2 linked regions of the Rattus norvegicus genome follow. The protein of the gene in region 1 binds, or shares a complex with, the protein of each later gene. Links are inferred from orthologs where the notes say so. Each region holds a gene or a part of one and is shown in the gene's direction. Other genes may lie near its edges.

Region 1 (4,383 bases):
AGGCACTTGGGAGGCCGAGGTCTCAGACTGAAATTTAAAACCAGCCTGGACCACATAGTGAGTTCAAGACCAGACAGGAACTTAGCGAGAGGACCCTGTCTCAGAAGGTGGGGTGGGGTGGGGGTGAGGTGGGGGGTTGGGGCTGCAGGGAGGGAAGGAAGGAAGAGGCTGGTGATTTTTGTAGTGTGTGAGATGTGTTACTAGGTGGGACAAGGGAAATGCCCTCAGGAAGGAGGCATTTGAGTTCTGTGTCAACTGAGTGAGCATGTGGTTGCTGGGAATTGAACTCAGGACCTCTGGAAGAGCAGTCAGTGCTCTTAACCGCTGAGCCATCTCTCCAGTCCTGATACATCCTCTCTGCCTCAGTTTCCTGAGTGCCGGGATTACAGCTATGAGCCACGATGCCCTGCTTGGTCTGGGGGATGGGAATGGGTTGGGGGAGTGAACTAAACGAGGTCCCTCGGAGTTTCGCAGAGGTGCCCTTGGGAAGGAAGTATTAATCCTGCCCCTGCCCCTGAATGCTTGCAGGAGAAAAAAACTGTGTGTGTGTGTGTGTGTGAGTGTGTGTGTGTGTGTGTGTGTGAGTGTGTGTGTGTGAGTGTGTGTGTGTGAGTGTGTGTGTATGTGTGTATGTATGTGTGTGTATGTGTATGTGTGTGTGAGTGTGTATGTGTGTGTATGTGTGTGCATGGTGTGTGTGTTACCTGAGAAGGTAACTACATTTGCAATGCTGTGATTGCAGTACCAACATCACGGTTTTTAGGGCATTTCACTCCATTCTGGTGGGGAAGGCAGGGCAGTTAATGGTGGCGAATCACGTGGCATGTATCAGGGACCCCTGGCATCGCCGTTGAGCAGGGTCCAGAACCAGCTTCAAAGGTTTCCTTTTGCCAGCTGGCATCCACCTAAAAGTTCAATAGCCAACCAAAATAGTGCTACCGGTTGGGGAACAAATCTTCAAAATGAGCCTGTGGGGGGTCACTTCAGGTTCATGTCCTCACCAGGAGAATGGGGGTTCAGATGCAGTTGCCTCGTCAGAACCAAGCCCAGGGTGAAAAGAGCAGCTGTCTGATTGATCTAGAGAGCCTGGGGACAGGTTGGGTTGTAGGCAGAACTAATCAACTGCTCATTGCTGACATGCCCTGGGCCTCTAATCCAGGACATGGTGACTTACTACTTGAACCTGAGGCAGGCGGATACACAAGAGACCCCGCAGTGGGAGCAGGAATACCGCCTGACAGAGGCCTACGAGGTGCAGGACGCCAGCACCAGTTCTATGTATACAGCACTGACCCGCATCGCCAGTGAGCAGCACATCCTGCAACGTTATTACGTCTACAACTCGGTCAGCTACAGCCATCAGCCCTGTGAGGACGTCTGCCGAAGGGAGCATGTGTGCGCCATACAGCACGTGGAGTTCGACACTTACGCCACCTGCTTGCATGGTCTTGGTGCCAACCTGGTACCTGGTTTCCTGCTCATACTGACTCTGCTGACGAGCCTACACGTATTGGAGGTGCTATGACTGTAGGCACTGCCAGCCTACCCTCTTACTTGGTTCGTCTTTCTCCCTGGTAAAACTGGGCAACATTACCCAATGGAGAGAGAGGGAGATGAATTTTGCCATCAGTCTGTGGAGAGTAAGGTGGGATGGGACATTTGGATTCACCAGAGAGGGCGCTAAGAAGCACATTTCTTCTGAGTTTTATGTTTTATCCACAGAGCTTGTTTGCGGTACATGTCTTGGTGCATTATTCCCTTTAATACAAACATCAAACTATCATGCACTTGATCGCCACAGTAAAGTGAACCCGCAGGAAGATGGGCCCTGGAGAGTCTGTGCTTTTGAGTCCCTGCTCAAGGTCTAAAACTGGGAACCCACGTGGTCTGCAAAATCCCTTGGTACTTTTAAATAAAAGACTTTTCTGATTTGGTTTCGCAACAGTGCAACCGTGAGGGATCACAGCTGCGACCCAGACACTAGTCTTGTGGCCACTCTTGTTAACTAGAGCCTCAAAAGGCAGAATCCAAACCAGTAGAGGCAGGGCTCAAGACAGGGAGGGCTGGGGGCGGGGTCTGGGCGGTGGGACCGCCTAGGGGGCGGAGTCGTGGACTCGCTCCTCCCCGGACGGGGCGAGATGGGGAAGTTCCGCCCAGCAGCCCGGCCTCTGGGAGGACTGCCCCACCCCCTTCCTGCCGGACTAGCCGGGCTGGAGGGCAGATCCGCGGTTGTGAGGTTGCCTGGAGGGCCATGCCTCTGTCCGTGCACCCCCAAGTGGCCTTAGACGTGGTCATAGGTCTGGTGAGTACCTTGTCTTTCCTGTTGGACCTGGTCGCCGACCTGTGGGCCGTCGTCCAGTACGTGCTCGTTGGCCGTTACCTGTGGGCCGCGCTGGTAGTGGTGCTGCTGGGCCAAGCCTCGGTGCTGCTGCAGCTCTTCAGCTGGCTCTGGCTGACAGCTGACCCCACCGAGCTGCACCAGTTGCAGCCCTCGCGTCGTTTCCTGGCTCTGCTGCACCTGCTGCAGCTCGGCTACCTGTATAGGTGAGTGCCCGGTCGGTTGAGAAAAGTGGGTTGACAGAGCCAGTTCAGTTTTCCCCTGGGCGTAGGTGAAACACAGGTTCAGGAAAGAGGAAGGGAACATCGGGGTCTTGGAGTTAGAGATGCCCCTCCCCTTTCTTTTTCATTTATTTTTTCTGCGAACATTTGCTTTCCCATCAAGGACTGAAGATGGGAGGGTTCTGCTTGGCTCATCTGTGTTCCTGGAGCCAGTCAGGACTGGACACAGATAGACTGGTTCTTGGAAGATGTGTGTGAAATGTGTACTTTTCTGAACTGGATAGAACCCAGGTTCAGTCTGAAGTAAGGACAGTGAGAAAGTCCCCGGCCCCTCCCCTCCCTGCCCCCCCCCCCCCCCCCCCCGTCCCCGTCCACCTCACTGTGAGTAGGCCCTTGGGTTGTTAGATGGGAGAAAGTGAAATCAAGGGGTCAGAATCATGTGATGAAGGCAGGGCTTCCTGAGGAGGGATGGGATTGGGTAAAGTGGGGTGGATGGATCCGGGATATCTTGTGCAAGTCTCAGATCTTGGCAAAGCTGCCTAGAGTCTTTAGCTGTGGGAAGGGACCTTTGAATATTTGCATTTTGCCTGAACAATTGTATCATGAGTACAGCTCAGGTGACTGTGAAGGGCGGTTATTATAGGTAGGCCCCAAGAGGAGAAAGTGTCGGGTCCCTTGGAGTTAGAGGTGAGGCACCTCTGTAAGAGCAGTGGATGTGGGCTGGAGAGATGGCTCAGTGGTTAAGAGCACTGACTGCTCTTCCAGAGGCCCTGAGTTCAAATTCCAGCAGCCACATGGTGGCTCACAACCATCTGTAATGAGATCTGATGCCCTCCTCTGGTGTATCTGAAGACAGCTACAGTGTACATATATAATAAATAAATCTTTAAAAAAAAAAAGAGCAGTGGATGCGATTAACAGCTAAGCTGTCTCTCTCAGGCCTCTCCTGTTTGCTGCTGCTGCTGCTGCTGCTGCTGCTGCTGCTGCTGCTGCTGCTGCTGCTTCTTCTTCTTCTTCTTCTTCTTCTTCTTCTTCTTCTTCTTCTTCTTCTTCTTCTTCTTCTTCTTCTTCTTCTTCTTTTTATTTATTTTGTATATGAGTACACTGTAGCTGTCTTCAGACTCACCAGAAGAAGGCATCGGATCCCATTACGTGTTGCTGGGAATTGAACTCAGGACCTCTGGAAGAGCAGTCAGTGCTCTTAACCACTGAGCCATCTCTCCAGCCCTCCTGTTTGCTTCTTAATTCCATCTCCCATCTCTAAAATGGGGCTCTTGTGAGTAGGTAGGGCAGGGTGCTGATGCTCTGGCGTCATGGCTGACCAGCAAGAGTAGAAGTTGAATTTCCCTCACTTTGTGGATGGAGAAACAGTTCCAGGAGGTAAGCTGGGTGGCTTGCTTCAGGTTCCGTAGCTTTTAGGTGACAAGTTAGGATTGAGGTCGGCCTCCATGCACTCAGCTGTAGGAGAGGGAAGACTTCACAGAACGCTGACCTGGTCCACTGGGCATCTGTGTGCTCTGCCTAGGTGCCTGCACGGAATGCGGCAGGGACTGTCCATGTGCTGCCAGGAGGTACCGTCTGAATGTGACCTGGCCTATGCTGACTTCCTCTCCCTGGACATCAGCATGCTGCGGCTTTTTGAGAGCTTCTTGGAGGCGACCCCACAGCTCACGCTGGTGCTGGCCATCGTGTTGCAGAGTGGAAATGCCGAATACTACCAGTGTGAGTGCTGGGCCCGGGCTGTCGCTTTTGCTGCTGCTTCTCTTCTCGGTGCTGTTCTCACTCTTGGGGCACAGGAGAAAAAGAGGGTGACTAAGCGTTAGG
Region 2 (2,507 bases), on another chromosome or scaffold:
GGTCAGCAGGAGATGCCAGGGCAGCCTGCATTCCTGAGACCAGATCATGGGTGGCCTGGCATGTTAGTCTCGTGGTCCTTGGAACATGACGGTGTTGTCCTAGATGTACGACACCCATGGTGTAGTGTCTCTTCAGAAACCCCACTGGAGTTGGGGCTGCCCTGTACCTGTATTTGCTGACAGCCCTAGATGAAGTGGTGTTGATTCAGACGTCCTGTAGCAGTAGACAGAGAAGGGGACTGAGGGAAGGGCGCTGCTGTGACCTTCTCCTGACAGCCTACCACCAGCCAGGAACTGCAGGTTGGGCAGTCTGGAAGATCTCGAATGTAGGTTACCAGGAAACCATTCTCTACCGAAGCAGCTGTGTCATTCAGACCCCTGAAGCTTTGGGGCAAGTGCTTACCTCAGCCCCCACCCCCAATGCAGGGCCTGAGGCCCTAAACTTAATACTTGTACCTTCAGATAACAACCACGCCTTGTGTAGGCATGCAAAGACCTGCCCTCCCCTGGGACATGTGTTTGGGGCAGGCATACAAGTCTGAGTGTCCCAGGCCCTTATGTAATGCTGAAGGCCCTATTTTAATTTGTCATGTAGCCCATCTGGCTGGAACTCATAGCAATCCTCCTGCATGCATAGGCCTCCTGAGTGGTGGAATTATAGGCGAGCTGCCATGGCGCCCACTGTATTTTCTAGACACACTTAGTGTATGCGTGCGTACATTAGCTGTGCACAGGTCCTTCACCACATGGGTCTTGGGTTGAACTGGCTTGGTGGTCAACATTTTTACCCAGCCCTTTGTGTTTTTTGTGCCTAACTTCATACTTCTCCCTGCAAGCAGAAAAGAAATGGAGTTCGTTGTGTTGTGTTGGTGCCTGTGGCAGGCCCTAGCAGTTGTAGTAATGGGTGCTAACCCTTTCCTGTAGCTGGCTTTCTCAAGGCGCCAATGTCCCAGGAGCAGTGGGCGGGGGGCAGCGTGGTCCTGCACTGTGAGGCTGTGGGCAGCCCCATGCCGGAGATCCAGTGGTGGTTTGAAGGGAATGAACCAAACGACAGCTGCTCCCAGCTCTGGGATGGCGCCCGGCTGGACCGTGTTCACATCCATGCCACCTACCGCCAGCATGCAGCCAGCACGCTGTCTGTTGATGGGCTCGCCGCAGAGGACACAGGCACTTATGAATGCCGGGCCAGCAGTGACCCTGACCGCAACCACCTGACCCGGCCACCCAGGGTCAAGTGGGTTCGTGCCCAGGCGAGCGTGGTGGTCCTTGAACGTGAGTGGCCAGGGCACCTGTCTCTGTTTACCTCTCGTGCCATCCAACCCTGGCTCCCACTCTGTAGAACCAGATGCTGCTCTGCCCTTCATTGAGACTCACCTGGGGACATGGGTGGGCTGGGCACTCGTCTCGGTCACTTTGCTGGGTGCAGGCTGGCCCTGCCCTCTTGTAGGTGGTTCCTCGGCTCCTATCCCAGGCCTTTGGTCCGCTGTCTTCCGCCCTGACCTCCCACCTTGTTCGGCTCTGTGCACCTGCTGTCCTGGCTCATAGCCTCCCCAGTGTTTGTCTGGTGGGGTTGGGGTCTGCTGCCCAAGTGACTGTCTACTGCAAATGAAAATTCCAGCCAGCCTCCCCGGAGCTTTCTGGGGGTTTCGTTTCCAGTTCTGAGTAATGGTCAAACACCAGTGAAGGGAACATGAGCCATCCGTGTGGCTTTAACATGTGGGGAAGTGCGGATGGTGCTCCCCCTGAACCACGGAGCTATGAGGAGCTATGAGCAGCAGGCAGGCCTTGGGCAGCTGGGTCTCCTACCTTGGAAGCTGACTCATAGTGGGTCATCAGCTTGCCTTAGAGGTCTGGGGCTGTAGATTGTCAGCTGCTATGATTCCAAAAGCAGACCGCGTGGGGGTGTGGGGCCGACAGCTGGGCTAAGATGGCTCTTTCTCCCTGTGGCCGCAGCGGGCACCATCGTAACCTCTGTCCAGGAAGTTGACTCCAAGACACAGCTTACCTGCTTTTTGAACAGCAGTGGCATTGACATCGTTGGCCACCGCTGGATGAGAGGTGGCAAGGTACTGCAGGAAGACACGCTGCCCGATCTACAGATGAAGTACACGTGAGTTCGTGGTACTCAGGGCCTGATGTCTGGAACTGCCTCTGGCCTGATTTGTGGCTGTGCCAGGCTCCCCACAGCTCTAGATTGGCTGCGTGGCCTACCTGTAGAGCATGAGAGCGCCCAAGGCTCTGTCTGCCTGTGGTCTGCACAGAGAGCCAGCCTCGGTGGGGAGGTGGCCAGCATAGCATGCCTTGTGAGCTCCTTACCTTACCATTCTGTTCCCTGCAGGGTGGATGCAGATGACCGCTCTGGAGAATATTCCTGCATCTTCCTTCCTGAGCCTGTGGGCAGAGGCAACATCAATGTGGAGGGTAATGGGGGTGGGGCGGAGGTGGTTGTAGTGAAGGCCAGGGGCAGGTGTTGGAGCTGAGAGCAGTCTACGTGCTTGGGCATCAGG

The links. Proteins that work in one complex are often made in the same cells at the same time.
Region 2: the proteins of Xkr8 (region 1) and Bsg are in contact, whole or in part, in a cryo-EM structure (PDB 7DCE), measured with the Homo sapiens proteins. The link is inferred for Rattus norvegicus from reciprocal best matches to the Homo sapiens genes XKR8 and BSG. Residues at the interface, in NP_060523.2 of Homo sapiens: His232, Leu236, Val239, Leu242, Trp243, Leu246, Gln247, Arg280, Gly283, Arg284, Ile287, Phe291, Ser294, Asp295, Leu298, Ala301, Thr302; in NP_001719.2 of Homo sapiens: Trp326, Pro327, Gly330, Ile331, Glu334, Val335, Leu338, Val339, Ile341, Ile342, Phe343, Tyr345, Glu346, Lys350.

What each region holds. Positions count from the first base shown.
Region 1 is NC_086023.1:150,226,168-150,230,550, reverse strand, and holds the start of Xkr8 (XK-related protein 8), read left to right. Parts: upstream 1-1,525; 5' UTR 1,526-2,251; coding exon 2,252-2,544; intron 2,545-4,084; coding exon 4,085-4,281; intron 4,282-4,383. Other genes in the region: Smpdl3b (acid sphingomyelinase-like phosphodiesterase 3b precursor), read left to right, coding at 1,160-1,525.
Region 2 is NC_086025.1:10,645,508-10,648,014, reverse strand, and holds part of Bsg (basigin isoform 1 precursor), read left to right. Parts: exon of another isoform or gene 1-778; intron 779-924; coding exon 925-1,272; intron 1,273-1,953; coding exon 1,954-2,110; intron 2,111-2,338; coding exon 2,339-2,421; intron 2,422-2,507.